4 linked regions of the Nothobranchius furzeri genome follow. The protein of the gene in region 4 purifies or fractionates together with the protein of the main gene of each other region. This does not show direct contact. Links are inferred from orthologs where the notes say so. Each region holds a gene or a part of one and is shown on either strand. Other genes may lie near its edges. The genes, in order: rfx3, cdk20, tbc1d32 and foxj1b.

Region 1 (8,253 bases), on a different chromosome or scaffold from region 4:
CTTGGCAAAAAGAAAAGCCCGGAAGCACCTGGATCAGCTAGGACAAGTCTGCTGCAGCAGAGAACAGGATTTGGAGACTAATTTCTTGATATTTGGGCACCTTGCCTGAAACTACAGCAACACGACTCTGTTTGCTCTGCAACATAAATGTTTTATCTCCACAAACAACACAAGCCTGGTGGAGTTTTTCTGTGTGGTGGAGTTGCTCATGCTAAAGATTAGCTTCTACTAGTCTGGATATTCTCTGCTGTTCCCTGGAATCTAAACCAACAACAGCCTTCCTCGTCACAAGCCAAGATGGATGAGTCCAAGCGACCACTTGATAAAGATCTGTCAGGCTTTTCAAATTCCAGAGTTTCACCATCTATTTTCTATCAGAAGCTAATGCAGGAGATAGGTGTAGGAGACTATTGAGACTATTTTCCATGTTCAGGCTGCATGTTAAACTCAGAGTGACTGATTATAATCAGAAACAATCCTTAAAAAATGGGGTTTCAGTGTTCCACGCCTTTAAAGCTTAGCTGGGACTTTGAAAAGTAGCTTCATAAAACCTAAAATAAGAAAATAAAATTGTTTAAACTGCTGAACTTAGTTGTGCCAGAAACAATTAGCCAACTTTGCTCTTTTTTATTTTTTACACGTATAAAAGAATTTAAGTTGGCACCAGCCCTCCACTTATATAAAACTAAAAACCGTTTCACTTGAAAAGATTTCTTTTAACCAGAGAGTTCAGCTTCAGATGGATTTCACCAGTTGCCTAGCAACAGCGACAACAGCTTTTCCAAAAAGCATCTGTTTAGTAACTGCTAATCAAATAAAAAATAAAAAGTACTGTGCAGCGGACACAGGTGGTTGGATAGGCTCTGCGCTCGGTGTGAGGCCACTTAACAACACTCCCTTTGTTTGGTCACTGTTCTCACTCTTAAAGTTCTTGCATGTATTTTCTGATCTACTTGTGCCATGTGGCAAATTATTTCAACCTATAGCACCTGCATGCATATTTTTAGGAACATTCAACACTTTCTGTACTAAATGTCATTGCCACACACACACAGGTCCAAGTCACTCAATTAGGGCTGCAGTATTTATGGAAATAAACAGTTGAAGGGAACACTTCATTTTAAGGGGAATCCACCAACTGTGTGCTTTAAATAAATGAGACGATGCAGGCTGAGAAACAAAACCTCCAATGCTAAAGCGGAATTGCCCATGAAGGCAAATGTCTTTGCGAATTATGGTAGAAATGGAGGAACAATTGAGAACAGTGACAACCTGTATCAATTAAATCATCAGCCGTGCTGAATGACACATACTGGGTCTTCCTTGTGCACATTCCTGGTTAGGTGCTCACACACAGTGTAGTGTACGACAGGCAATCATTCACTCAGATTTTACTTAAAGTGACATCCCACCAATTTCTGCTTCCTTTTCATCCACCCAGAGTGCTTTTGTGTTATCCTGTCACACAGGAAGGGAAAATGCAGAGTCTGATCTTGACTGAGACAGAACAGTAGGTGACAATTATCAAATCTAATTTGCAAAAAAAGATGCATTTAAAGTATGAATGTATTTAGGTTTATGTTAGATTTTCAAAGATAATTGCATTGCCTTGACTAATGCTTTCTACTCAGCACTTCAAAGAGTTTAATAACACTTCAGTTGTAAATATATAAAAGCCATTTTACTGTGTAAAACATCCAATAAAAACAAATATATCAGGACATTAATCCTCTCAGGCTCAAATTAAGTTTTGATAAAAGGACCAACAACTAAGTCCTTCAGGCGTACTTCTGAGTTAAAAAATGCTGATGAAATACGTATGTGGGGTAACCAGGTAGGTAGGTTTTAACGTTGCAAACTTGCAACACCATGCCTCCTGAGGGTTAAAAAAACATTAAGAAGGGTGAGAACTGGTTAGAATCTTGTTTTAGGGGAAGAGTTCCCCATTCTCAGGGAAGGTTCCACACCAGGGGTCACCAACCTGGTGCCCCAGGAACCATATAAGGTGCCCACAGGCCTTTTCTCCAAATAGAACAAGTTTGAAACAAAATAGAACTCTGCTGCCACCTGTTTCAATGGAACGGCAGTAGCTCCAGAGGTAGAGTCAGTTGTCCAGTAATCGGAAGGTCGCAGGCCGATCAAAATTCGACAACGGATTACGAAAGAATGGATAATGCTTGAAACATGCAGATTCTTTGTGGAGTAAGAGGTGAGTCTACTCTTTCTTTTGTTAGTTCTGGCGTTGATATCATCCTAGCACGCAATGTTCTGTAACTCTTAAAAAAACATTGAAAACGCTGAAAAACGCTGGCAGCGCAGGGCTTTTCTGATCAAAAAATGGCTGGCAGTTCATGAATTAAGTCACTGCTTCCTTGACGTTCCAAGTGCTCTGACCTGGGCCAGCATCACGACTGTTGGGTGCTGATTGGCTAAGTCACTGGTTGTTCCAGAGCTTTATGCCTGCAGCCATTTCCTGGTTCAGACTCTGAGCATTTTTGTGCTAAGTTGTGTTTCATACAGTTCACCTCATGCTGTTTACTGATTGTATCATGCTATTTTTGTCTTGAGTAAAGATAAGGTTTCTGTTGGCCAGTCATAGGTAAGATATCCAAATATCAGGAAATAAGACTCCATATCCTGCCACTTTCTCCTCTAGCTGACTTCTACATCCTCAAAATGGCGCACCAGAGCTTTTTTCCCAGAAAATTGATTGCAAGGCATTAATTCCTACTGTAGACCACTGCAAATGTATTAAAGCTATGAGTAAAGTTGACCTTTAATGCCTATGCTCTGCTCTCATCAGGGGTCCAAACTTTCTGTCATGGTGGCACTGGCCCCCCTTGGAACCCCCCACCCCACCGCCCCGGTGGAGGCAATTTTTTCCTTGTAAATTACAAAACTATCAATTTATATCACATACTTACAACGGTTACATGTTCTCTAATAACAAAACACACTTGTAACCTTGTCAGTCCTCAGAATAAGACAGTTTTTATGCCCTATAATAAAAGTAAGAAAACTAAAAACAAAATTATTCACCCAATAAAATTAAGATTTTTGTTTAAAACCCATTTAAATAAACTGTTTTGTTAATAATTGGCAAATCACAACAATCTCTTCTGTAAGATTTGATTTTCTAGGTTTTTTTTACGCCAAACAATTTTAAAGTCTCTATAAAGTCTAAACTAGATCAGGCCAAAAAGCCGTGACTTCGGGTGTTAACGGACAGCCATGGACACATGTTTAGTTTTTTTTTTTAATCGGGTTGATTATATTTCTTCAGATGAATATGTGCGCCTAAATCTCCTCCCACCTGCCTGGTAAGAAGGTTGAGCGCTGCAGATGAGTTTTATAGCAACTGTTGCCCAGTGAGGCAACGCCATAGTCACCGTAGTCCTGGCGACTGTAACCCACCAACAACAACCTCTGGCTCCATCATTACCACCTCCTCCAACATCCTCATCTTCATCAACCAGTCCGCAGCTCAGGTTTGGCTCAACTCTTCGCTGTTTTTAGCCCGAATGCAAGCGCTTTCTCCTCTGACAAGATGAGAGGGGTTTATGCGGGAGGTTTGCTTCTGGTTTGTGTTTTGTCTGCTGCTGGGTTGAAGGCTCTAGCGAGGGTGTTTCTTTGTAACGTGTTAGCCTGCTTTGCTAAGGTTCCTTGTGGGAACTCGTTATGAGAAGAGCTCCTGCTTTGCTAGCAGAGATAAGCTATACGGAAATAAGGAACGCTGCGGAGCTAAAACGACTTGTAAAAGTGTTTCTATTATTGAACATGTTTTGTAGTTTTAACTTTCCACGCTGTGGTAGCAGAGCTGCCGGCTAGTCAGCGTTGCTAACTGGTCAGCTGGAGCAGGTGTCTGTTGTTGCTAACGCCAGCGATGCCTCCTGACAATGCCTGTTGGTATCCTGTTTTTTTTGGGAGGCAACGTCAACGCTGATGTTGCAAGTTTGTGTTTCGATGTGTAGGAAATCTGGTCGGTTACAGAAAATCTGTACGGCTGTTGGCAAATGGAAAGTGTCGTAAGCTAGCCCTGCACTCACTCACTGGTTGACAATAGCTAAGCCATTACTTTCCCTTTTGTCTTTTGCTACAAGATAGCTTCGCTAGCTCTCCATCTGCCCTCTTTGTGGCATCAGATGGCTGTGATAAGCTTTCAGATAACACCACACTAAGTTCTGCAGCTCGGAGAAAATAGTTCTGAGTGAGCTAACATTTTCAATTTGGATAAAGGTTGTGTTTAGTGGAATCATTTAGGGTTCTGAGTGGCACATCCTGGAAATGGGCTGGTAAACGTCATTGCACCCCGTCGAGTTATTTACTTTTTAAGATTTGTTAAATTGACATTTTTTCTAAAACTATTAAAACAAGTTCAGACCTAATGAGAGAATTAGTTTAAATGGTTGCCTATTCATTTTACATATGTATAAGGAGAAAGGATTTCTTAACAGGTGGATTTTTAATTTTTTATGGAATTTTAAACATAATTTCTGTCAGGCAGATTTGTTGTATACCTATTCTTCCCAACAGTATAACAGCCCGGCATTTAGGGGTGCTTTAATTCTGTTGGTGCTCCATTTAAAATTGGTTTCTCTGTGTTGCATCACATTTTATTCTTAGGTCCACTGGGTCTCATGTTCACCTGCAACCTCTGAATCCCATTTGGGAAGAAAGCAGGTGTGTGTGTGTGTGTGTGTGTGTGTGTGTGAGGGGAAGGGGTAGGTGGGGACTTAGGATGTCCTGATTTATCTTCAAGAGCAAAAGGTTATTGTTCAGTAAAAAAAAAAAGGTACAGGTAAACTTCATAATTCCTTTTTTCTTATAGTGTTTTAGGTGTTGTATAATAATTTGTGAATCCAACCCAGCTGGACCCAACAGCGCCACAGCACATCATCTCCACTGGATCAACATAAAGCTGCATAATCTGAGCACATTATGGTGTTATATACTAAAATCATTTAGATCTGTTCACATGTACAAGCTAAATGAGGTCATCTTGATCACACACACACACACACACACACACACACACACACACACACACACACACACACACACACACACACACACACACACACACACACACACACACACACACACACACACACACACACACACACACAAAAGTGGATGTTAGGAGCTGGCAGCTATCAGATCAGGTTTCCACTTACCTGTGGTCCAGAAGGGCAGAAATAGTACCATGCCACCTGCTACCTGGATCCTGTTGCATTTCCAATCACTTAAAGAGGGGCTGATTAATTCAATTATTCTGTCGGCCATTTTCCTGGCTTTAGCAGCATGTTTGGTTTGTAATTTATCACAGCCATCCTGCTGTAATGTTAATGAAATAATGGTCTTTTTAAAGGTGATTACTTCTTTTTATTATCACTTCCTACTCCTGGTTATTGAAATGAGCAGAAGGCCTGTGGTAACCAGTGATTTCTGACACTTTTCATTAGCTTCACCTGTATAAACAGATGAGATGTTCAACAGTCTCATGGGATCTTTTATAAATGCAAAGTTTTTGACTGTGAAATCAGCATTACTGGTGCTCACGATGGAAGTCAGTCCCTCTTTCCTTTGTAATCGTAACCACCCCCCCTCCTCCTTCTCCCCCTACACAAACACAGTTCTTTGCATACCCTCCACCTCCTCAGCTCCCAATTAGATTTCCCTCCACCTGTTTTCCTGCCACCTGATCAAACCACCAAGAACAAGAAAAGAATTTCTCTCGACCGCAATCAGTCTTGTTCACTCTCGCGTATGCCTTTACTCTATACATTACACGTCCAACTTTGTCATTACGGAGGAAAATTATAGTGTTCTGTGGTTTCCGTTAGCGGCTGCTGTGAGCCTCGTGAGCTCCAGGATTGTGTGGCCTGGTATGCTAGCAGGAAGAAAACTCAGGGTGCAGTGTTGCGCTCCTTGGTGGCTTTTGTTCCTTCGTGTCTTTGTAGGGCTCACACTTGCTCAGTGGAGCACGGCGTTTAAGTGGGCCACAAGGGAGCGTCTGAATGGTGTGTGTGTGTGTGTGTGTGTGTGTGTGTGTGTGTGTGTGTGTGTGTGTGTGTGTGTGTGTGTGTGTGTGTGTGTGTGTGTGTGTGTGTGTGTGTGTGTGTGTGTGTGTGTGTGTGTGTGTGTGTTTGTCATTGTGAAGGGGGGGTTGAGGTGATGCTGGGGGTTCTTTTCCCCAATTAGGTAGGCTCGGTTGGGGCCCTTTGCTTTAGCTTGCTAACTGCTTTGTGGAATACACGCGGAATATTCCACATTCTTCACTTCCTGTAAGACTTCTCAGGATGAAGGAAATGGAGCGCTACAGGTTCATTATGAGGCATATCATGGTACGCAAAAACTTTTTTGAAAATACAAATATGTGTGCTGAATATTAGTGGTTTTATTTTTCCTTTAAAAGACGGAGGGTTGCCTTTTGGGACACTAAATTAATTTGCTTTCCAAAACGGGAATGTGTAAGGAAAAAATCCATCTTTTCCCACCTCTTGTTGTCGCGTTGACCCTATTGTGGCCAGGTTCGATTTAGTTACCCCAACATGAATAAGGTGATAGCCTGGAAAATGGACAGTTTGAAGGTAATGGAAAGGGGCACGTCGTCCCCGGAGTGATTTGAAGCTCTAAGGAGCACCAGCTTAATTAACCAAGAGAGGCTTGTTCATGGAAACTGATGAGGAGGAGCTGGCCTTTCCCTGGAAGCAATGGGTGATGGGAGCCACACTGTTATTAACTCACAAATATAGGTTAAGTCTTTCCTCTCACTCTTGTCGTTTTCTTTTCAAATTTGCTCCATTAGGTCAGGATCTTACATATTCTGTGTTTATATATTGCTTAAATATTTTTGTAAAAATCAAAGAAAATGATAAGCAATTCTTTGGAGGACTTATTTAAATTCCAGCTGCGGGGCCTTCTGTTAAAAGAGCAACAGCAAGAGGACCGGTAGAGAAACGAGAATCTATTTAGAGTTTGTTAAATATTAACTTGTTTTATGGCAGCAAATGTGGAGACAAGAGTGTGTGTCAGTGATGCATGAGGCTCTCGGTACACCGAGTGCCACGGGGTGGAAACAGGTGCTCAGGTACTGTTGGTCTAAAGCTGCTTTAGTGGCATTGATTTGGGCAAAACATACACAGGTTTATGATGACACCTCGCACTTCCTGTTGTCCCTAGAATAGTCTCTCCTTTAGCTGCTTTATCTGTCCACAGCAAGCCAAAGTGTGGATAGTTGGACAAAGATGTTGTGTGTTATGTGAATTTCATTCATCAAGTTTGCATTTGATTAAAAACCAAGTTCACTTAGAAACCATTTTTTTCCTTGTTATTTTTTAAATGTGATTGGCCATTCTGACTCTAACATGCAAGCTTAACATGAAAATAGTCTTCTACCCAAATATCCTGTGTTAGCTGCTGATGGGGATCGCATGGATTAGAAAAGCCACGAAGATCTAAGTTGCACTGAATTAGCATTCACAAACTCGCCCATCTTCTCTCACGACGGGGAAGTGTCCAGGAGAAAGCATGGCACGCCTCAGCTAGTAGAAGCTAACCGTTAGCGTTAGCAACTCCACAACATGGCAGAACTCCTTCGGGATTGTGTTGTTTGTGGAGATAAAACATCAACGTTGCAGAGCAAACAGAGGCAGTGGTAGAGTCATGTTGCTGCTAGCCAATCAGAGGTGAGATGTCAGAATATTAATGAATAAGACTCCATATCCTGCCATTTTCTGCTCCCCTCTCCTCCGGTTAACTTGTCATTTTTAAACCGGAGCACTATATATTTTTTCCACAGAAATGGACTCGCAAGGCATTCATTTATACTAGAGACAGCAAACGCGTTGAAGAAAACATGTGAATGAGGGCTTTAATAAGTAGAGATTTTTGTCACATAAAATCAGACTATTTGGATTTTGTTAGCAGCAGTTTCTGGTGAAAGACAGATCAATAAATGCTTAAATGTGTCAACAGCTTTTGATTTAGCATCAGTTTTGGTTTCTGCCTGAGCTTCTGCTGTGGTTAATATGAGATAATAAAGATGATTCACCACTAAGCCTGGCAGGTTAATAGTTGCACTGACTTTTTTAGTTACTGGGATCATATTTAGTCTCTGTGTTTCTTTTTTTTTTCTGTTTAGGCGCCATGCAGACCCCTGAAGCAGGCGCTGACTCCACCTCCACTGTCCCCCTTCAGACCACTGTGCCTGTCCAGCCTACCGGCTCCACCCAGCAGGTGCCTGTCCAGCAG
Region 2 (8,019 bases), on a different chromosome or scaffold from region 4:
GATTTCCAGGTTTTCTTTAAACTTGATGGAGTGCTGTTTCTGCGGTAACAGGATGGAGACGTCATCGCTGCAATATATGATGTCAATTATTGCTGCTGCCGAAGAGCCGCAGAGCAAGGTATTGAGCCTTTTCAAAATAAGACCACATCTCGTTGAAGGACGAAAATAAAACCCAGAAACGAGAAGGATGAAGCAGCATTCATGTGAGGCTCATCAGAGGAACATCTGGGCCACGTCTGCTCCTCACCCATCACATCACATCTGGGCAGAAGTTCAACCCAGGAAGGAATAAATGAATGGATAAATAAATTATTCAATTAAATAATCCCCCCTCAAACGAAACACCTCTAAAATAAATATTTATGAAGACCGTAAAAGAAGACATTTTATTATGAAAGGAATAGCATTATAATTTCAAGCGTTCAAATTATTTTATAACATGAAAGTAAATTAATAACAAGTGAAAAGTTTAGAAAATCAGACTTTTTAAAATTCCAAAACCAGGAAGATATGAACTCTATAAGCAAAGATGAAGCAAACTTGATGAATGTCAGACACATCATCACAAATAACATTAATAATAATAATATTAGTCATTGCTGCTGTTGTTGTGCAGGTAGAGGTACTTATCAGAATAAAAGGACTCATTCCCAGACGTGTTTCTGTGTTTCAGGGAAATAAAAGCTGGATTCTGGATCCGAGCAGCAAACTGAACACAAAAGATGCTCCTTTCTTTCTCTGATTCAGTTTCAAGAGTCTCTCAGCACCTCTATTCGGCAGCTCGTTGTCATGGAAACAGGCTCTGCGTCGTCGAGCTTCTGTGCGAGCAGCTGATATTCATCACACCGGATGAAGGTCGTGAAAGCTGACGAGCTCGTGCAGCTGACCACCCGTCAGCCTCACAGAGCTAACACGTGCTGGTCACGCATGACTCTTCGAGCACGTTCCCGTTCTTCCAACGCAACAAACCCGCTAAACGTCTCAGCGTTCCTCAGGAACATTCCGACAAATTCCTTTCAAAAGTTTATATTTGGTTTTGAGAGACAAATAAACCATAACACCGGGAAAAGATCTTAAAAATAACAAAAAAAGTTCACTTTAAATCTAAATCAGCTTGTTCAAAAAGACAAATAACACTTTTTAGGTCTAAAAATATTATTTATTATAAGAAGAATGTGTGAATGATTTTATTCATCAGGAAATGAAATGTTGGCAAATAAACAACCAACAACTTTTACCCATTTAAGCCTAAAATATATGATATTATTTTATTACAATAAATCCCAGAAAGAACTAAAGTAGAACTACATCCAATAAAAAATATACACAAAAACTAAAGTTTGACATAAATAAAACAAATCCAAACTAAAAACCTCATTATTAATAAAATATGAATGAAAAAATGAAAATACATGAACTTCAGTTTAGTATTTTAATCAGGAAAGACTCATGACTGCTGTGATGTTCTTCAAACATCTGAGGAGACCTTCGTCCTGCTGTCCACAAAGCTCCTCCCAGGAAGAGGAGTTTCCTCCTCCCCCGGAGGTCCAGCCCCAGCAGCACCTGCTGCCCAGAACCAGGAAAAGTCTAGAAGACGTCTCTTCTTTGGCTCTCGGGAAGGTCGGTGAGTCCCTGCAGCTCCCGCAAACCCTGAAGGCAGAGGAAGAAGATAGCAGCCAATCAGACACCTCATCTGGAGGATCAGGGTTCTCCGTGGTTCCACGATGAACACATCTGATTTTAGAGGAGAACGTCCCTCTCCATCAGCACCAACTCACCTCGACGCTACCGGACCGGCTCTACTTCAGATCTTACCGAGTCTCTGACTCGCTTTGACTTATAGAAGATCAAACACTCAGCAGAAAAACTCAAATCAAATATTAAAGAGCTTCAGATCATAGACATAATAACTGACCTCAAGGACCATGCGGATGTTGGCTTTTATTTTGGCGGCGTCTTTAGTGAGTTGCTCTGTGAAGCTGCAAAACAAGCGTTAGCATGGTTAGCATCTTTGGTTCCGAACATTGAGCTAACACAGCACTCGTTCAAACTCCCTCAACTTTATTTAGAACTAGATCTCAGCTCGACAAAAATGAGACGTGTGACAAAAAGTTTGTGTTGTCACGGCAACACAGAGCTCACACTGTCAGCTGACTCGTCTTCTTGGTGATGAACTGCAGAGCTTCATCGTGGGTCATTTCCACGAAGAACCCGAAACCGACCGCCACGAAGATCCTGGACGAGTCGTCTCTGTCCAAAGGAGGGGAACAACGGGTCAGAACCGGGACCAAACACAACCAAACTGCTCAGAACCAGAACCAAACATCTAAAAGAGGTTAAATGTCTGTGGAGGGAGGAGCTGGACACTCTAGAGAGACAGACACTCACACTTGAGCCTGAACATAGAAGCTGCAGCCCAGATCGACGTCTGTCTTCAGCTGCTGGGACTCCGCCTCCTGCAAGAACACGGAGTGACATAACCGCAACGTCATCATCATGATATAAACATATATAAATATATACACACACACAAAATTCTATCACAAACAAACAGGCGTTTCTGATTGACAGCACGAGGCCTAAAGAGCTCAGGTTACTGGTCTGTTGTTGGATCGGGCCTGAACAGAACTCCTGATCCAGAACACACAGCTCCGCTGGATTTTCATCAGCAGTTAAAAGGTTTCCAGAGATTAAAACATGGCGGATGTTAGCTGAAAATATTTCAAACAACTGAAAAAAATCCTAGAGGAGGCCCTATGATCCTCCCAGAGTGATGCCTCCCTCCTTAAAATCTCTCTCTCTCTCTCTCTCTCACACACACACACACACATACACACACACACACACACGCACGCACGCACACACACACACACACACACACACACACACTACCTGCAGACTCTGGATCGTGTTCTTCAGCTGCAGGTACTGGGAGATCTTCTCATAAACCTGGTCTCTCTGCTCCAACACCTTCCTGTCAAACAGAACACCTTCATCAGTGTGTGTGTGTGTGTGTGTGTGTGTGTGTGTGTGTGAGGTGTCAAAATAGAGTATTTGAAATGAGTTTGCAATCATTTTCTGACTGTTCTATTGGATAAGAACCACACCAGGGATCCGTGGTTCTCCAGGACCCACTCTCTGGTTCTCCTTCACTGGATCTTTTTGGTTGGTTCTGATTCCACAGACCAGAACATCATCCGACTCTGTGGACTCACCACCGCAGTTTGACTTTTGTTCTGGTCGCTCAGATGAAGCGTCAACTTCTCTAGCCGGATAGACCCCGCCCTCTGGGGGGCTGCCATGGTAACCAGGTACCAGTCACTGGTCATAGTGATTGTCACAAATGTGTTTAATACAACTTTATGATTTACGTTTAAAGAACTTAACCTGTACTATAATGATCGTGTCTGTAGAGACATAAACATCGCATCAAAACTTAACCGGAAACTGCTTAGATTCATCAGAACCCAGCACCAACTTTTATTTACCTGCTTCAAGCTAGAGCTACCAACCCTGCCCTAACTAAACCAGGATCTGTGAAACTACTCAGAATTCAAAACCAAACAGAGGAGCAGAGCTGAGAAACTAAATCAACTATACGAGTTAAATCGTACCGTAAATCTCTCTTCAGAACCTCGTTGATGAACGTTTCGTACTGCAGAACCTTCCGGTCCACGTTTTCAGCGACAGGTTCCTCCATGCAGCTTTTCAGATTAATAACAACAATAATAACTTCATGCGGATTAATTCAGTTCAGATGAATTTCTGCTCAATGTAAATTAACCGTTTCGGACACAAAAACGTGCCGTTAGCACAGCTAGCATGCCAAGCTAGCATGTAAATAATTCTTTACACCGGAACTAAATCATTGAGTGCCCCCAAATTTTCAAAATAAAGCATGTAGACATAAAACAGATAGATGCATTAGACGAAGACGCTCCAGACTGATTATATATATATATATATATATATATATATATATATATATATATATATATCAAGACTCAAGACAACTTTATTAGTCCCCGAGGGGCAATTCGAGACAGCATTGTGAAGCAGCCGGCACTAAAATCTCTAAATTCTAAAAACACATCCAAATTACACATTTGTAAAACCCATAAAACCTATATACACATTCATGTCATAACCCCATACATATATATTTATATATATATATATATATATATATATATAATTTATTTATTTAATTTTCACTTCTGACTGACATGTGAGTCTTTTCTAGCTGATTTGGATCTGTGTCGTGACTTCCGTTGTCACGTGACCGTAGCTAACGCAGCTCTTGTCTGAAACAAAACGTTTTCAAACGTTTCAGGCCCGAAAACCGGATCTCCTCGCCGCGCTTTCAGGCTTGAACGACTATCAGGAAACATTTCTGCTCGAATTGAAATTATTTCGACGGTTTCATTAAGCCATAGGAGCTAACTTAGCTTAGTGGTGACGTTACCATGGCAACACGAGTTAGCATCCTCTGTAAAATTCGGATCCAATTGAAATCGAGCTGATTTATGTATAATCTCAGAACCCGAATAAAACTTACGACCTTTATTTCAGTTATCGTTCCGTAATATTTCAGAAACGTTGGTGTTTTATTGAACTGAAACGCGCAAAATCGTAAACGGCGTCTTTTGTACACGGAGCTTTGTTTCCGGTCTGAATTCTGGCTCCTGTCGGTCAGCTGGAGGAGGTAAAAGAAGCTCTGGGAGGTGTTTTCTTTCTCAAAAAGAGGTCACCTATATCTTATTTAGTTTAATGTTACAGCTTGAAGTTTTAATGTGGAATCAGATGAAAAATTGGTCTTCCTGCAGAAATCAGCAGACCGGATCAGGTTCTTGTCCCAGACATGGAGCAGTACAGCATCCAGGGTCGGATCGGAGAAGGAGCTCACGGCATTGTGTTCAAGGCCAAACACATTGAGGTACCGATAGCAAAAGATCCAGCCTCTGGGTCTGGTTCCAGGTGCAGAGCAGTTCCTCCTCAGAATGTTCGTCTTGTGCCTTTTCTCTCAGACAGGAGAGACGGTGGCTCTGAAGAAAGTGGCTCTGAGGAGGCTGGAAGACGGCATCCCGAACCAGGCTCTGAGGGAGATCAAGGCCCTGCAGGAGATTGAGGACAACCAGTATGTGAGTGTCCCTCCAGCTGCTTCTGCCCAGTTCAGAGGACAGCGAGGTGTCAGACCTGATGCTACTGAAATGCCACAAACTGGTGTTCGTGATGGTGTCAGAACCACAGTCCTGAATCCACCTGATCTGCAGGCCATTCCTCACAAAGCTATTTGCCAAATTAACAGATTTCCATGATTTTACGTTCTCTATTCCTCCTTCTGAGGAGACGAGGAGGAGCATCACAGAGATCTGGGGGGCTGGTAAGTGCCTGGTTGCCCAGATCTGCTGTTGGTTTTAAGTCTGAGCAGAAATCTGGTTCCATTACAGCACCACACCTGGTGGACCCTCGGTGCTCAGCTTCAGCTGCTTTGATAAAAAAAACCTGCAGATGTTTTGTTGGGAATGATTCAATCTTCCTTTTGGGAACGTTGTCCTGAACTCTTCCAGGTTGTGAAGCTGAAGGACGTCTTTCCCCACGGGACGGGCTTTGTTCTGGTCTTTGACTTCATGCTGTCGGACCTCTCTGAGGTCATCAGGAACCACCAGCGACCTCTGACCCCGGCACAGGTCAAGGGGTACATGATGATGCTGCTAAAGGGCGTGGCCTTCCTGCATCGCAATAACATCATGCACCGGGTGAGTGCACTGCTCACACACACGCACACACACACACACACACACACACACACACACACACACACACACACACACACACACACACACACACACACACACACACACACACAGTCCACGGCCCATAAGGGTTTGTGATTCTGGTTCTGGTGTGTGTGTGTGTGTGTGTGTGTGTGTGTGTGTGTGTGTGTGTGTGTGTGTAGGACCTGAAGCCAGCTAACCTGCTCATCAGCTCCTCGGGTCACCTAAAGATCGCCGATTTCGGTCTCGCCAGGCTGTTCAGCGATCAAGGCGAGAGGCTTTACAGCCACCAGGTGGCCACCAGGTAAGCACAAGCTCCGCCCCTTTTTCACAGCTCGGTCACACAAAAAATTTGTTGATTGAAGATGAAAATTAAAATTTTTGATCTGCAGGAAATAGAGAAAAAAATTGTTTTGTCTTGTGTGTGTGTGTGTGTGTGTGTATGTGTGTGTGTGTGTGTGTGTGTGTGTGTGTGTGTGTGTGTGTGTGTGTATGTGTGTGTGTGTGTGTGTGTGTGTGTGTGTGTGTTTTCAGGTGGTACCGAGCTCCTGAGCTGCTCTACGGAGCCCGGAAGTACGATGAAGGAGTGGATCTGTGGTGAGAGTGAAACCCTGCTGCTGGTGCTATTGCTGCCTTGCTCAGGGGCTGAGTCCACAGTGACAGTGCTGTGAGCTGAGCAGCAGAGGGCAGCGCTCACGCCTCTCTGTGTTTCAGGGCTGTCGGGTGTATTTTCGGGGAGCTGCTGAACTCGTCTCCTCTGTTTCCTGGAGAAAACGACATCGAGCAGCTGTGTTGCGTCCTCAGAGTTCTGGGAACGCCGACCCGGGACAGCTGGCCTGTAAGACATGTCCCATATAACAGTTACTCCCAACAGAACCAGGTCTGCAGGCTCCCATCGTCCGTTGGCTCAGGGTCCACCATACCAGATACGATGTAGACAAGCTGCACTTTTGTTGGTTGGCTCTAACGGCGTCAGCTGCCAGGTGAGACTAGAACCGGGTTTTTGTTCTCCATCTGCAGGAGATCGCTGAGCTTCCAGATTACAATAAAATCACCTTCAAGGAGAATCCAGCCATCCCATTGGAGGAGATTGTTCCAGACACGCCCCCTCAGGCCATCGACCTGCTGTACAGGTTCCTGGTGTACCCGTCCAGACAGCGCTGTTCCGCCAAACAGGTAGGACTCGTGCAGAGGACGTAGCAAAGGGACAGGTGTACCTGATCAGTAACTGATGGTGATGTTTGGCTCCTCCCCCTGCAGGCTCTTCTTCATCCATATTTCTTCACCCCTCCTCTTCCTGCTCACCACTCGGAGCTTCCCATTCCTCACAGGGGGGGCCACCCCCCTCGCCAGCGTCATCAGGCTCCGCCCACTGATTTCTCTTTAGACATGCCCCTGCAGAAGAGCGTGGTGGACCCTTTGCTGCTGCAGCCTCACGCCTCCTGTCTCTGAAACAGACGAGTCTGAACTTTTGCATTTAACCGAAGTGAAGAAGAAGAATAAACATTTCTATTTAAGACCTGGAAAATTTTATTGCCGTTTCTTGTTCTTCCTGTCTGTTTACACATGCGTGTGTTCTGGGTCTGATCTGGGAGCTCCTCTCAGTGAGGAGGAGGAACAGGTGGTGGATCTCCTCACCTGATCTCTAATCATCAGAACAACAGAACTTCAGCTCCTCGTTCCTTTGGTTCTGATCCAGATCTTCCTTGTTTCTGTAGTAAAACCGATCTTGTAACAAAGAGCTGATTCGGATCATAAAAAACCTGAAAACGTGGGCTAAGGGTTTGTGGGAGGAGCCAGACTACCCCTCCTTCTCCTGATGCCCCTCCTCTTCCTCCTGGTGACCCCCAACCCCTTCCCCAGAGCAGACTCGTCTTCATTCAGGGGAAAAACCTCGAACCCTGAGCAGATCTGAGTTTCCTCTGAAAGCTCCTCAGACGTCAGAGAGGGCTCTCGCTCCGTCTTCTCGGATCAACGGGAACATGGCCGACTATTCCCTGGCAGCTGACTGGTCCACAACTTTTCTGGACACCGGGTGTGAAACATCATCGGGTTTCATTGCAAAGGTCAGAGTCTAAAACATACTTTGTTCTGCTGATGTTGTTTTAACCAAACATGAACTGGACAGAGCAGGATCTGCTGAAGAGCCTGGGATCTTCTGGAGAGCGGCGGACGCTCCTTTCTCTGTGGAGGCCTCAGCTGTCTTGTTCTCCTGTTTGTCTTTTACCTTTTGTGGAGTTCT
Region 3 (7,285 bases), on a different chromosome or scaffold from region 4:
GTTTCCTCAGGAAGTGGCTGAATCAGGGATGGGTCCGGTTTACTGGTCCACTGCTCACTATGTGGAGATGCTGCTGAAAGCCGAGGTCCCTCTGGTCCATTCTGCCTTCAGGATGTCTGGATTCACTCCCTCACAGGTAACGTCTGGACCTCCACTCCCTCCAGGGTTCATGGTTGGAGAACTTTCCTTCTGAAGAAGTTTTTTTTATAGTGAAGTCATCTAATCAGAACCTCCCAGAACCTGTAACAGCCCATCAGAATCTCACCGTAAAAGAAACGCCTCTAATGAATGTAGCTGACTGGGCAGAGTAGGCTGAGGCTATACGCTAGTAAAAGTAGCAGTACTTAAATACGTTTTACTCAGGTAGAAGTGCCCATGAAAACATCTACTTTGATGTCAGGAAGAGACTAAAATCTTTACAGAAATACTTTGTTGTTATGACCCAGAAATGTAAAATGAAGACTAACCAGATCTGATGTTGGAAAAAAGACTAAAAAGTAGTTTTTACAAAGTCATTTCTTTTTGATCTTCACTCCTCTTAGATGAGGCTCTTCACCTCGAAGCTTTTGTGTTTTGATCCTGTGTCGACATTCTACAACGTACGGGGTTAACCTGCCGTCTCTAGGGCTCAGCGACACAGTCAGATGTTTTATCTGACAGAGCAGCAGCTCACCTCCTCCTGAACAACACCTGGAGGACTTATGGAGTTTGGGTTAAGGACTTCAAACTTCATTAGCCAATTAAAAACCTTTATTATAGCGACAGGACTGTTTCCCTGCCTCTGATATTTAACAGTTCCTCCAAACCCTGGATGCTTGCCGTGTTGTTTTGTCCTTGTAGGATGACTTCCTGGCTCCTCCCACTCAGGTTGGAGGTCTTTGTGGAGCTCTGAGGTTTTTGCAGGCGTTTGGAGTTTTCATTACAGGATAAACGTGCAGTAGAGGTGTCTGCTGTAGAGTTTATCACATTATCCACCAACAGGATCCACATTTCAATCAGGTCTCTCTGAGAGGCTCAGAGTTTCTCTCAGCGGGTCTCTCCTCAATTTACAAGTCAGGACTGTGAAGTGAGAGTCGCCACGGGCGAGTGGAGCCTCCGCTGTGGGTCAGATGGTGTAGGAGATACACATGGAGCCATCTGGGCTGAGAAGTGACAGGATTAGTTGTTCTTCCTCCTGTAGGGACTCAGGTGAGAGCTGACTGCTCTTGACCTTTTAGCCACGGTTCAACTCTTGCACATGTTTAAAAACATAACAGTTATATTTTACAGTCTAGGTGTTCAGTTAACACCTCCTGCTTGTTTATTTAATGAAGATGGATGATCAGAATCATTGAATTGTGACCTGGGCCCTCATTTATCAACCTTACTTACAAGCAGATCTGTGCTTATTTCGTGCGTGGGAACAATTTAACGCGTTGTGTGGTATTTACCGGTTTGTATGTGTGCGTGAACATGTCTGACCGTGCGTAGGAACAGCCTCTAGTGGTAGAACAGGGGAACAGCAGTACTGGAGGTCTCAGTCACCCACAGATTATATTTACCCAGTATGTAGTTACGTCGGTGGAAAAACCAATAAGACACCTGTGACCGACGGGAGTCTGACATCATATCTGGGCTGTTCTGTGTTATTTGAGGATTTATCAGAACGTGTTCTCCACGAGCGCACTGATCTCAAAGCAAATCCTTCTGCTCTGCTGGGGTTCAGGACTATTTGTGGAGCACGAATGTGGATCCAGGGAACCCCCAGAAGCTCTTCTGTTCTCCGTTGCCAAGGTAACCAGACTAAATGGCCACTGTGAAGAGGCTTCAGTCTCGGACATTAACAAATAAAACTAACTCCAAACAGAGCCCGACGAAACAAATCCATCTTTAAAATTGTAATTCTGACGGGAACCTCTGCATCTTAGTTCTTTTGTGCTTTGGCAGCCACTGTTTCAATCTCGCTGTCAATAAAAGCTTTCATATTTTTGATTCCCTCACGAGCTGACGACGTAGCGTGACCAAATATGGTCAATTGAGGGTGTTTCTGACAGAACGATACGAGCACCTGGGTACGCACGGGTGGGATTTCAGACGATTGTGGAGGAACGTGCGTTTCATAAATCAGTCTTTTGACCGTTCGTACACATTCTAAATGTCGGTCGTAGGAGGGAATATAGGACAGTTTCAACGAACGTTTGATAAATGAGGGCCCAGGTGTCATGCTAATATGTCACGTGGATTATAAATCTGATTTATTGTAACATTTGTTGCTGCTGAGGTCTTCAAGTGTTCTCGGGGTACTCTGGATCCTCCTCAGTCTAATCAGTTATGTTGGGTAATTTTATTAATCCAGGATTCCCTTAGGGGGTTATAGTAATCAATCGATCAACACCAATACCAATTCATAAACAATCAATTTAGACTTTGCAAAGTGGAGAGGAAAAGATACACACCAGACAACGGTCGCCATTTCACTCTCATCAGACAGAGTCCTTCGAAAGCATTTATTAAGCACACACACACACAAAAGATTGACACACACACATTTTGACATTTCTTAGACTCTCAGGCAGAAAGCTGTAAAAAAGGGAGACTAAGCTTTCTCCAGGTGCACCCTAAATCAACAAAGCAGTTCCTGGACTTTCTCAAGGGAGTTTTACTGATAAAGGTCGGTTCCAAGGCTAGGTCATCCTCCTAAAACCTACTCCTCCCTGTAAGACCTGCGGGGGCCTGTTATCTATCAACCGAGTAAAATGAATTGATGAAGCTACGTTTAAAAAGACACCAGATATTTAACAGTCAAGGCATTAATATCAGTTCAATACTGTTAGTATCAGTTTTTATCTAACAGGTTGTCTCAGATTTAAACTGGTTTTAGAATGAGTTTGTTGGTTCGGTACCTGAAACGTGTTCCCAGAGATGCTCCAGAACACATTCTGTATGTTATGAGCTGACCTGGTCCAATATTATTATTGGCTCCTGAATGGGAGACCAAAAGGTCGGTCCCATCAAACGGGCGTGTTGTTTGTCAGCAGCACGGAGTCAGTCGTTTCCTGTTTTTATGACAACACAAATTAGGATGTCAGGATTTTCATTAGAGCTCAGCTACAGAGGCTGCTGATGATTTAACGTGTTTATGGAGCGCGAGTGATGCGAGTGTGTGAGCTGGCTGGCTAATTAAGTAGAAGCAGGAGCTGTTTTGTTTGTTTGGGCGTGAACCTCGGTGGTGTTGTGGTGATCTGAGCTCCATCTTTGGATCAGAGTTGGACAAATGTCCTAAAGTCAGTGATTCCTCTCTGCAGTTCTGGCTCTTTTCACTCAGATTTTTGGTCATTAGAGGCAGAAGCAAATATTGTTTGTGTCCCCTAATCCCAGCTCAATATCACTGACTGCTGGTGTTTATTCTCCAACATCACACGGTGTGAATAGTTCTGAAGGTCTTAACAACTTTTATCTGATCCCAGATGTGCCTCCACTGGCTGACTCAGTGCTTCTGGAACTACCTGGACTGGACAGAGATCTGCCACTACATCTGTACCTGTGTGCTGATGGGTCCAGATTACCAGGTTTACCTGTGCGTGGCCGTGCTCAAACACCTGCAGCCAGACATCCTGCAGCACACTCAGTCACAGGAGCTGCAGGTCTTCCTGAAGGTCAGCCTCAGTCCGGCATGGTTTTATGTGAGTGAGATGTTTAACTGGATTGTCCTACAGGGTTACTCCTGTGGGACAAGAAGCTGCATTCATCTATTAGATTTACTGAAATTATGGTGAATCTTCTTGAATTAAAGGTCAGTGGTGCCCCGCCCTGGTCCTCTCTCCAGAAGGTTTCTCTACTTTTATTTAACCCTCCCCCGCGAGGAAAGTTGACCATTGAACAGGGTTGAGGGTTTACCCCTTGAGGTCCATGTGGCAGGGGTGAGGAGTGAGCACCACCTCACCCCTGCCACATGGACCTCAAGGGATAAACCATCAACCCTGCTCAATGGTCAACTTTCCTCACGGGGTCACCCATTAGGACAGTGGGAGGGTTAAATCAGGGGTGTTGGTGCACAGCCCCTGTAGAGGACCAGGGTGGGGCACCACTGCTCTACGTTCTGTTCAGGTTGATCTGTTTTGTTTTTACTGTCAATTAGAGAAAATCCACAATAAATCCAAACTTGTAGATGGTAAAATGATTCCACCAGGAGGAGGTCTTAGATGAAGAAACCATAGGAGCAGGTATGCCTAACTTTCATTCACAAGTTCTTCTCTGGATCTGAGACAAAAACATGAAGGAGCATGGATGTAGGAGGAGTTTATTGATGCATCATGACATCATCTTTGCAGCTAACAGCTCAGTCCTCAGAGGAAAGGCTAACACTAGCTTCATCACCTGGTGCTTAGAGTTCATCTGTTGACCTCAGCTCCTCAGATGGTCACAGGCTTATTAATGGAGCACAGATACATTGATGTTTAACTTCAGTATTATTAATCACACTGGAGTTGCTAGCGGTGGTGTGTCTGTTGTAGCAGCTAAAATCCTGAGGATGGGAGTCTGGTTTTGATTATTCTTTGATCAGAATGAGTTAAACTGATCTCAAACATTTTAAACTACAAGCTGAAACTTTTTTTTTTTCCCCCACATCTTGGTCATTTAAAGATTTCAGTACCTAGAGGGCCGGTATCCACATGTTCTCTGCTCCAGCGGTGGAACCACCTGCTGGATATTGGCCCTCCAGGCCTGGTCTACAGTCTTTAATACCAGTTTTGACTTTTACATTACAACCTGATTAGTTAAAAACATCTAAAGTGCATGAAACTGGGAAAAAAAACGTGTAAGAATTCTGCTTGTAGTTTAGAAGTTTGAACTTGTTCTGATGCAGAAATGATGGAAAATCCAGATGAGTCAGATTTGACCTCAGAATTTCTGCTGCAACAACAAAAACAAAACTATTTTTAAGTGACTTAATGAAGCATAATTTAAAAGAATAACAGAGACTGATGGAGGAACATATTCTGTACTTCCTGGTTCATGTGTGCAGGTAATCATATCAACTTATCTGTGCTCCATTGATAGGCCTATGACTTGATCTGTGAAGGTGAAGGACTTTACTGTGGCCCTCCTGGGCCACCGTCCTGCAACAAAACAGATCAATAACTTTTTTTGCAGAAGTCTGCTGATCTCAGATCTGGTGCGTTGAGATGTGTTCTCCTGTGGAAAACTGTCTCGCCTTCATGTTGCCTTGGTAACATGGGACAGTCCTACCCTATAAGTACCAGGATGTTCCACTGAGAACAAACATCTTGTAAGGTTTAATGTGTGTGAGGCTGTCTCTAACAGAGTTCTGTAGTTTTTACATCGACACAAAGGAGCTTTATTCACCTTCCCACCGTGCCTTACTCTCTGTGCTCCACCCAGACACCACCTGCTGCAGCATCAGGACCCATTTACCTCCACCATGAGCCGAGTAGGCTTATTTAAACAGTGACATGATGGTTTTTCACTAAATTAGTTTGACTGGCATCAGATTAAAGATATTTGTTGTTGGTTATTTATTAGCTGTTATTCACTATAAAGTAGAATGCGTTCATGGAAACAGCCGTGTTCCAGGTACCTGATGATAGCTTTTCCACGCACTACAAAAATGGACATTATGGCTTTCCCTTTATTACTGTGGGAAGTTCTGCTGGGATTACGGGACATTTTAGCTGGGAAGGTGACTAATCAGGCTTTAATAAAGATTAGCTCTGGAATAATTAGTTTTACTTCTTATCTCCTTTTGGGTGTTGCTGTTCCTGTCACACTAACAGTGGGGGCCTGTTACAGTAAACAACCTGGATGTTTCAGGAAGACTCCATCAGACAAGAACAATTATCTACTTGATATAGTCTAATTGTAGTAAAATAAGTCTGAACTTAAGGGGTCTGTGGCATTAACGTTGAAAACATCTGTTTGAGTCTTTATCTAAAGTTTCTCTAACGAGCTGTAGCTTCATCGCGCCTCCCTGGCTCCAACGGTTCTGCCTGCAAAGGAATCAAGTGAAATTTTTCACCCAGACGATGTGGTTTCTGTTCTTCTGCTTCATTCATCCCGTCTCCCTGGGGGTGCATCTATATTTCACCTAAATTAACATTTTAAAGGGGAAATGACTTGTTACAGTTGGTGTGAATCCAACCACAGTTACAATGAAGGTTTTATGTCCTCCACTGACCCAGAGGCCACGTCAAACCACCATGTTTTAGTCTGGACCACATGAGTAGTGTAAAGTAAAAGGAGACATTCTTATGCTAACGTGTTTATGTTTAGGTAAATATTAGACTCACTGTTAAGGGCAGGAGTATCTTTGCTAATCAACCATCTGTTTAACAGACAGGTTATATAAATATATTTAAATGATTGCTTTTAAATTAACAGCTTTAAAAACTAAATGATCAATGCAATAAGATAAATAACATGTTGGCCTGGTTTGTTTGAATCTTATTTCAGAAATGTGACAAAGCACGAACCAGACTCAGCTGCTGAAAACACTAAAACCATGAAGAAACTTAACCTTCCAATAAAAATGTTGGATGCTTATTTCATATTTGATGATAATAATATGTAGCGTACCAAAAGGTCAAGTATTTCTTCAAAATGACCAAAAACTTGCAGGCACAATCTGCGTCACACATCCTGTCTGTCTGGTCTCCAGACCAGAAAGCTACAGCTCAGTGACCTTGTTATCTAATAAGGGAGCCATTATAAGTCCTTCCCCTAGCTCCCTTACGTTTGCTGGAACCCCAAGGTCTCATGCAGAAGACGAGACTCTTACTCTCTGAATAAAGTTTATCTTTCTCATCATAAAATCATCTCATTTGTTAAAATCCAAAGTTTTTGATTAATGTATTCCTATACTTTACATTAATCAATGATGGTTTTCGCTCTCTCTCGCGCTCTCTGATGGATTTTAATGTCTGGTTTATAGGTGATGCCAGGTATAAATGAAAATTAAAAACTAGGGCAGAAACTCATCCTGCAGAGTTTGGAGTACTTTAGAGTTTTTCTTGCTCTAACGCACCTGATCCAACAGCTGATTGGAAGGTAGGGCTTCTGAAGGACCAGAGCTGGACACCACTGGTCTAGCGATGGGTTCAGCAGGAGGACATCATTTCCTTCATCTGCAAATGAATAGAAAACGGCATAGTTGGAGGGCAATTGTCAGCAGAAACAGGTCTAACATGAATGTATCAATGAAACTTGGTCAGATCTACATGTATTTAAGTAATTTATGGTTAACTTTCTGCAGTAAGACTAGAGTTTGTTTTCATTTCCTACATGTTGC
Region 4 (8,321 bases):
ATCACAGAATAAAACCTTGGAGGTTTGGAACTTATTCCTGTCCTCTACACGTGGACATGGAGTTCCATACCTTATTATAATGAAGTAAACAAGGAGCAAAAATATTAAATGTTTTGTGATAATCTGTAGGACATTGTAGGCCATCTTCAGTGCAGGAATGCTCCATTTTTGTGTAAGTTATAGATTTTAGCAATGGTTATATCAAGTAATTTCTATCAATTCTAATGAATAAATCTTTAATTTATCAGAGAATTTAAGATCTTTAAAATTTTTGGAGAATTTTACCAACAATTTTAGTTTTGCAGATCATTGTTGCAGAAATCAATAAGAGGCTTGGCATTCCTTGAAACATATCAGAGTGTTTAATTGACATTTAATGATGACAAATTATAGTTTTAACACTGTGGGTCAGGTTTTGAGTGCAATGCATGATCTGTTAGCGCCTTCGGGATATGCATTGTGAATGACACAGAGTTAAAACCACAGCAAATCATAGTAAATCAAAGTCAAAGTCAGTTTAATTGTCACTTCTGCCACATGTACAGGACATACAGAGAAATGAAATTACGTTACTCTCAAACTCTCGCTAGATAGAAAATAAACATTTAGTATAAAAACAGTAACCAAGTTCAGAGAGACTGTGGGGGAAAAGAGAAGAGAGTTGGGAGAGCCAGGAGGGAGTTTAGCTTCCTAACGGCCTGATGGATAAAGCTGCCCTTCAGTCTGTTGGTCCTGGCCTTGAGACTCCGCAGTCTCCTCCCTGACGGCAGCAGCTCGAAGAGGCTTTGCATTGGGTGAGTGGGATCAGCCGCAATGCGAAGGGCCTTTTTTGTGAGGCGGGCACTGTAAATGTCTGGTATGGAGGGGAGAGAGACCCCAATGACCTTCTCTGTTGCTCTCACTATACGTTGGAGGGTTTTAATGCATGAAACGTTGCAGGCTCCGTACCACACAGTGATGCCGCACGACAGGATGCTCTCGATGGTGCCTCTGTAGAAAGTGTACAGGATGGGGGCTGGTGCTCTTGCTCTTCTTAGTTTGCGGAGGAAGAAGAGACGCTGCTGTGATTTCCTCGCCAATGCTATGGTGTTGTTCGTCCAGGAGAGATCCTCTGTAATGTGCACACCCAGGAACTTGGTGCTGCTCACTCTCTCCACAGACACACCGTTGATGGTCAGAGGAGCATGCTGAGTGTGTGCTCTCCTGAAGTCCACAACAATCTCCTTGGTCTTCACCACATTTAGAGAGAGGTTGTTGTCAGCACACCATGTGGTAAGGCGGCTCACCTCGGTCCTGTGTTCAGTCTCATCCCCGTTGTTTATGGGACCCACCACCGTTGTGTCATCCGCAAACTTGATGAAGAGGTTAGAGCTGTGCAATGGTGTACAGTCGTGGGTCAGCAGAGTAAAGAGGAGGGGGCTCAGCACACATCCCTGGGGGGCCCCCGTGTTTGAAATGATGGTGCTGGATGTGTTTCTGCCGACCCGTACTGCTTGTGGTCTTCCAGTGAGGAAGTCCAACAGCCAGTTACACAGTGAGGTGTTGAGACCCAGCTGGACCAGTTTTTGAGTAAGCTGTTGGGGGATGATGGTGTTGAATGCTGAACTAAAGTCTATGAACAGCATCCGGACATGTGAGTCTTTTTTGTCCAGATGTGTGAGTGCTGAGTGGAGTGCAGTGGAGATGGCATCATCGGTCGAGCGGTTGGGCCGGTATGCAAACTGGAAGGGGTCCAGGCAGGGGGGCAGAACAGACTTGATGTGTTGCATGACTAACCGTTCGAAGCACTTCATAAGGATGGGAGTAAGTGCAACAGGACGGTAGCCATTAAAGCAGGAGGGAGATGATGTTTTTGGGAAAACATCATGAGCGAGCATCATACGACACTGAGCTAACACAGCCAGTATCATTGAAAAGGCTGTGCTGTTATTCTGTTTACAGTGAAAGTGGGTTAGAGTTAACGTCTTCATCATCATTTATCCGGCACCTTCCACCACCTTGAGCAGAAGATCAAGGTGCTGAACAGAACAATAAAAAGCAGTTGCATTACTAAACACAATAAAAGATCAAAAAATAAAACACAATGAAAACAGATAAAAACAACAACAATGAAACAATTACGTTCAAGACAAAATTGCCTGGATATAATAACGGGTCTTCAGACATGACTTCAAAATTTGGAAGGAAGAATCAGCTCTTTTAAACTTTGCTCTGTACTGCACGGGAAGCCAGTGGAGTTCCGCCAACGCCGATGTAATATGGCCAAAAATCTAGCAGCTGAATTCTGAACCAGCTAGGCGAGTAATCGCACCCTGACTCAGACCCACATACATTGCATTGCAGTAGTCGAGTCTGGACAGGACAAAGGCATGAATGACAGACTTTGAATGCAGCTTGTGTTTACGATTTGTAGTGGAGTGTGTACTGACATCTGATAAGACTGACCAGGATGTTTAGATCTGCTCAAAAGTGACCAACAGCAGCCTCCTTTTCCATTCAGCCCATGAACTAGTCACCCTTCTTCCTTCAGGCAGAAGACTTGAGTTTCTTCAAAACAGAAACATTTTGAATGCCATTTATCTGAGTTGATTTTAAAGCTTCACACCCATCTAGATTGAAAGTTGGTGTCATTTTGCTAGGATCTGTCCTCTTATTTGATGAAAAAAATAGTCAAATGAGGAAAACAAAACAGACATTTTGTAGGTTGTGGGACTGTTTCAGGACAAGAAGTCAGAAGATGATGAGTTTTTTAAAAAATTTTATTGTAGAAATAACCCCTCACCAGATTTCTGTTAGCGCTTGGACTCTGGTGCAGCTGCAGTGTGGTATTAAATCCACATGGTGGCACTGTTTTCCCGTGATTAGCAGCATTTGATTGAGGCTCTTTAACACACCACTAAGTCCAACAACTGGCCAATACATACTTGTTTGGTAAAGCTGAATTGACTCATTGTGGTAAATATGTTAACAAAAACTGATTGTAATCTTGCACGTACGAGTTCTGCAACAAATGCCCAATTTATTAGAAAAGAAAACCTTTAAATGTTGTTTGATTGGCGTACTTGCACATCATTCTAAAACAAACTCAAATTTAAGTGGGGTGGTTTCAAACGGATTTAACAGAACGCTGTTGCTTTTGAGTCCTTCTTGCTGCGCATGTTGGTCAGAATTCAGGCGAGTTTAACCTCAAAAACTTTTATGCTGTACAGCCTGAGTATATTTGTTGTGAACACGACTTCTGCCTAAATCGCGGCCCCTCTGTGAATTGAATGAGATTTAAAAAAAATGACGCATAAGCTTGCTCAGCTGTTTTTTGTTTGCAGACGCAGAGTGGGACATGTGGCGCGTCTTCTAGCGCCAGCTTTACGCGCGCCATGAGCTCATATTTCAGCCCGTTTCCAATCCGAATCACAGATATAAAAACAAAGAAGTAATTCGTACAAGAAAGCGCACCACCCTTGAAAGTTTAACATTTAGAAGTAAAACAAAGACAGGAGGATGGAGGTAATTAAAATAGAGTAGACAGCCACACACACACACACACACACACACACACACACACACACACACACACACACACACACACACACACACACACACACGCAGGAGATCCCCGTCGCATGAGTGCTCCTAAGTGTCTCCTTTCTTTTTCTTGTATTTAAACCCCCTCCTCTTCCATATGCGCTGGCTGCGCCTCGCCCTCCCCCCACCGCACTTGTTGCGCACAAACTAGATGCGCTGCTGAGTCCTTGGAGAGGAGAGACAGGGAAGAACAGCAACAGGTGTACACAGAGCATCTCCGCCAGCCACGCGCCAGGAGGAGAGCGTTACCGCGTCGCTTGTCGGGGGATGAATGCAAATGTATTATCTCTGGTGGTTTAACTGAAGTCAGAACGGTTGTTTAATTCATAAACTTTTATTTTCTGCTCTTTTTTTAAATTTAAATGTCAGTCTAAAGACCCTTCAAGGCTACAGCGCGTGCGTAAATTCCAGGATGCCAGTTTTGACGAGCCCAGATATAGCCAACAAGTTCAAAGAGAGGTGGCTCGCGGTGTTCCCGGAGGATCAGGTCTTGGACTCCGCTCCCCTGGACGACAGTCTCACCAGTCTCCACTGGCTCCAGAATTTCTCAATCATCAGCACGGACCCGGAGCGACCCAACGCCGCCGGACCCGGATGCCCTTCCTCGCTACAGCACCACTTCCTGAGACGTCTGGGCTTCCCCAGAACGGGCACTGACTCTCCTTCTAGCCCACCGGCCGGAGACACAGCCGCCAGCGGGATGTCTCTGCACCCCGGGAGCCCCTTCACGTCCGGTAGCGACTCCCAGCGGTTCCCGAACTGCGCGCACCCAACACCCGGCTATCCGCAGATCCCGCTCCAGACAAGCCCGCAGGTGGAAGTGGACTACAAAACTAACCCTAAAGTTAAACCACCGTACTCCTACGCCTCTCTCATATGCATGGCCATGCAGGCCAGCAAACAGCCTAAAGTGACTCTGTCCACCATCTACAACTGGATCACAGAGAATTTCTGCTACTACAGACACGCTGAGCCCAGCTGGCAGGTAACCGAGACCGGATACGTCCCTCTTTATAATTTATGAGGCTGATAATGCTGAGGTGAGGGAGGGAAGGCAGAGCAATTGACTCCAGTGTCACCATCACACACATCTTCCTTAAGCCAGGCAGAGTTACCCTAACAAAGATAAAATCAGGCTTCTGCCTCTGTCCAAGGCTTAGGCTTCACATTTGATCGGTTCTATCATTTAAAGTGACCCTCAGATCTCTTACCTGATGAACATGTGAACAGCCTCTGTTCAAAGAAACAGAGACAAGTTTTGATCTTTGAAAATCTAACAGCCTGTCACATTTGGTAGGTTATAATATTATTGCAGCCATGAAAAAAATCTTTAAAACGCTGGTTTATGCTGCCAGTGTCTTGGAAACCTTACACCATGACACTCAGTTATTTACATCACAGTATTTAGTTTTCACACCAGAGCATTCCTTGTCAGACTTTTACATTTCTGCCAGCATAATTGATAAGGATTGACAAGGGTTGATAAACGGACATGATGACGAGGTGAAAATGCCCTCACACAATTAAAGCTGTTTTAGGATGACATGTAACTGGATTCACTCTAACCCCATCGGGTCAGAATTAGACTCTTTATTCTCCAAGTTGAAGTTGTTGAAAAGGTATGTAGTTTTCTGAATAATCTTTCCATAGTTCAAAAGGTCGAACTAGCCCTTTAAATTCATATTCTTTACAAAATATGGCAGTTGGACAAAAGAATATATTTAAGAAACAATCATTTTAGTTGTTATTTGCAGAACTGTAGCTCACAGATGACAACACGGTCTAAAATACACAAAGTTTGGGTCAAAAGCATTTATGAGACGAAGTAATTGGCTCACATGGCATAATTTAGAGGTTATTAGCATTGGGTGGTAATTTTAAAGGAATGCATTAAAAGCTGTCATGTTTAGTCAAATCAGTCAGACAATAAAAGAAGGTGTGAACATTCATAAACTATGACTTGGCCAAACATTTACACATACATCCTCGTATTATTGCTAAATCTAAATAACTAGAGTCTATATTTAGATAGTTACATATAGCTGTTGAAATATGAAAACAGTTATTTTAAATAGAAAACATGTCAATTCAAACTGCAGTAAGTGTTTTCTCTGACTGCACCATCTAGAGGCTGAAAAATGGATCACAATTTCAGTTGGAAGCAACGCCCCTCATTCGTGGACACACACCTAGATGGCCAATAGAGCTAAAAACCCTTTTTTTTACAGTTATTATTCTCACATCATGCTGTTTAAATAATAACTATTCCATGAGAAAAGTAGTCAACTTTGACATATATGTAAGCGGATGTCTAACACTATTAGCTAATACTGAGCAGCGTAAATTCAAAATAGCATGGGGCTCTATGGGATGGGGACAAGCTTAGCAAAAAAAAAAAAAATATATATATATGACGAAATACAAAAAAACAAAAAAAAAACACACACACACAACAGTAAAAAGGGAGCCTGAGTCTCCTCCCTTTCCGGTCAGCTCACGGGTCCCTGGGAGAACGAAAAAAAGAATGCAAGTCAATGAGGCTAAAAACGCTATTTTCTAATCCGCTTTGCCCTACACCCTGGACCGCACATATGTTGAACTTAGATTTAAATGAAAAGTAACGATGGGTTTTTCGACCACGCCAGTCATGTACTTTGAGATATACCAGCTTGTAGAAGTTCGTAATTAGTATGACTACAAATTAGACATCGGCATGCTGCACAAATGACGTTACGACAGAATATCTTCTCCCCTAGCGTAGCTGCTACTTACCACATGGCCAGATTTGTGGTGGTTCTTTCTTCCTGAAGGAAGGATTGGAAGTTCACTAAACTTACGGCCATTTTCCCAGTTTTTCTCCGTGTCTGGTTCGATGACGTCACTTTCGTAAAGCGCATTTGTAGTCCTGGACTTATTTTCACACAAAACCTAAAATAACATTTCCCCCCATTGGAAAATAAGCGTGTTCTTGCTATCAAAATGTGTCTTTAAAATTCACAGACATCATATGTGAAATCCATGGAGCAAAACAAGCGGAATTAGAAAATAGCGTTTTTAGCCCCAATTCATTTTTTTGTTCTTCTGGGGACCCATGATGCGGTAGATGGGCATGACTTAGGCTCCCTTTAGGGCCGGATACATGACAGCATACCCCAGAAAAGTGCTTTGCCCTCTGTTGTCCTGGCAGGGAATTGCTTTGCAACACTCTCCAGGGGACGGGGAAGTCTGAGAGCAAAACGTCTGCATCAATGCATGTGCGTCTCTCCCTCGTGGAGCTGATGCAGAAGCCTAAACTAGGCTTAACCCAGCAGTTTCAGTGCGAGTTCTGATGTGTGTGTGTGTGTGTGTGTGTGTGTACATGTGTGTTAATGAGGGCTCCTGAGAGAGATGCAGCTAAGCACAGCTGATCGTGTTTGAAATGCACAGAGCTGCCTGTTACTAGAAAGCCTCATTAGGCACATTTGCTTTTCTATACAAACAACAACAATGCCCCCAACGCCCACTCTGCTGTCTCCCTGACAAATTGGCATTTTTAGTTCTCGCATGACTGCCTTGTTTTGTCCATGTTTAATCATCTCTTTTTCTTGTCTTGACACAGAACTCGATTCGTCACAACCTGTCCCTCAACAAGTGTTTCAAGAAGGTCCCCAGGCAGAAGGACGAGCCAGGGAAGGGAGGCTTCTGGCAGATTGATCCGCAGTATGCCGACATGTTTGTCAATGGCATCTTCAAACGTCGAAGGATGTCCGCTAACCAGTACAGCAACAGCAGTGCCTCCCAAAGACCAAATAAACTGGTTCCAAGTTACGACAGCATCCAAGACACCTGCTCTTTTCCGGGAGTGGGCAGCAAACGAAAGCATCTACCCTCTAAAAGCAACAAGCCAGTCAGAGCCACCGAGTCCCCTCTTCTAGTGATGGAAGCTAACAAAATGGACCTCCTCAAGGGGGACTTTGACTTGGCATCTGTGTTCGACGACGTTCTGAGCGGGAACTGCAGCACCTTTGAGGACTTAGACATCAACACGGCGCTCAGCTCCCTGGGCTGTGAGATGGAGGTTTCCATTCATGGGAGGCAGCACCCCGCGGGACTGGGGAGGTGGTGTGGAGCAGGTGATGTAATGAGTCCGAGCCAGCACATCAGCCACCATCAGTCCTACGGCTACCTGGACCTGAGTGCTGCTTCCATGGAGTGCTCGGTGAGCATGGGAGAGCTCCATGCATCCCAGCAGCATCCGCTGCTGAGGCAGCAGCAGCTGGACCAAGACCAGCCGCTCCAAGGTCAGCACCATCTGCAGCATTTTGACGAACCAACCTCTCTGTTCCCAGAGCAGTCAAGAGAGGCTGTGCTCCAGCCATGGGAGGAGATTAAAGAAGAAGCGCAGGCTATTCCTCTGACCCTGGATCAGGGATTTGGTCTGTATGAGGGCTTCTTCACGGAAATGCCGCCTTGGGAATAAGCAGAGAGTTATCTGTGACTTTGTCACATCAAACTACTGTGCGGACAGTCTTGTAGGAAAGAATAACACCACTACCAAAACTTCTAGTCCTTTACAATCACTCTGCAAGAGTCCACAACTTTTGAATGACACCGATCAGCTGTAACACGACGAGCATGGACCTGATTACTAGCAGGTCGTTGGGGGATCTACTGACTCATCAGGGTGTGAGGTCCTGCCACGCTTGTTACTGATACATTAACAACTTTTTGATGCTGTAGGTTGAGTGATGGGGTTTCTG

The links.
Region 1: the proteins of foxj1b (region 4) and rfx3 purify together in Homo sapiens (affinity purification with mass spectrometry; 3 studies listed by BioGRID and IntAct, counting the BioPlex papers as one, with this or other methods). This does not show direct contact. The link is inferred for Nothobranchius furzeri from reciprocal best matches to the Homo sapiens genes FOXJ1 and RFX3.
Region 2: the proteins of foxj1b (region 4) and cdk20 purify together in Homo sapiens (affinity purification with mass spectrometry; 3 studies listed by BioGRID and IntAct, counting the BioPlex papers as one, with this or other methods). This does not show direct contact. The link is inferred for Nothobranchius furzeri from reciprocal best matches to the Homo sapiens genes FOXJ1 and CDK20.
Region 3: the proteins of foxj1b (region 4) and tbc1d32 purify together in Homo sapiens (affinity purification with mass spectrometry; 3 studies listed by BioGRID and IntAct, counting the BioPlex papers as one, with this or other methods). This does not show direct contact. The link is inferred for Nothobranchius furzeri from reciprocal best matches to the Homo sapiens genes FOXJ1 and TBC1D32.

The regions. Positions count from the first base shown.
Region 1 is NC_091746.1:53,262,233-53,270,485, forward strand, and holds the start of rfx3 (transcription factor RFX3), read left to right. Parts: upstream 1-3,319; 5' UTR 3,320-3,488; intron 3,489-3,506; exon of another isoform or gene 3,507-6,344; intron 6,345-8,143; 5' UTR 8,144-8,148; coding exon 8,149-8,253. UniProt on the Homo sapiens protein: Transcription factor required for ciliogenesis and islet cell differentiation during endocrine pancreas development. Essential for the differentiation of nodal monocilia and left-right asymmetry specification during embryogenesis.
Region 2 is NC_091755.1:47,131,990-47,140,008, reverse strand, and holds cdk20 (cyclin-dependent kinase 20), read left to right. Parts: upstream 1-3,288; 5' UTR 3,289-3,311; intron 3,312-3,614; coding exon of another isoform or gene 3,615-3,700; exon of another isoform or gene 3,701-3,878; intron 3,879-4,240; exon of another isoform or gene 4,241-4,746; intron 4,747-4,826; 5' UTR 4,827-4,861; coding exon 4,862-4,936; intron 4,937-5,027; coding exon 5,028-5,141; intron 5,142-5,570; coding exon 5,571-5,759; intron 5,760-5,959; coding exon 5,960-6,081; intron 6,082-6,311; coding exon 6,312-6,374; intron 6,375-6,491; coding exon 6,492-6,615; intron 6,616-6,797; coding exon 6,798-6,953; intron 6,954-7,037; coding exon 7,038-7,229; 3' UTR 7,230-7,310; downstream 7,311-8,019. Other genes in the region: protein UXT, read right to left, coding at 1,588-1,650, 1,916-1,979, 2,143-2,250, 2,389-2,456, 2,893-2,974, 3,615-3,700; erythroid transcription factor, read left to right, coding at 7,760-7,843. UniProt on the Homo sapiens protein: Required for high-level Shh responses in the developing neural tube.
Region 3 is NC_091742.1:10,617,491-10,624,775, reverse strand, and holds part of tbc1d32 (protein broad-minded), read left to right. Parts: coding exon 1-136; intron 137-3,446; coding exon 3,447-3,662; intron 3,663-7,285.
Region 4 is NC_091756.1:26,390,714-26,399,034, reverse strand, and holds the start of foxj1b (forkhead box protein J1-B), read left to right. Parts: upstream 1-3,741; 5' UTR 3,742-3,994; coding exon 3,995-4,567; intron 4,568-7,180; coding exon 7,181-8,041; 3' UTR 8,042-8,321. UniProt on the Homo sapiens protein: Transcription factor specifically required for the formation of motile cilia. Acts by activating transcription of genes that mediate assembly of motile cilia, such as CFAP157.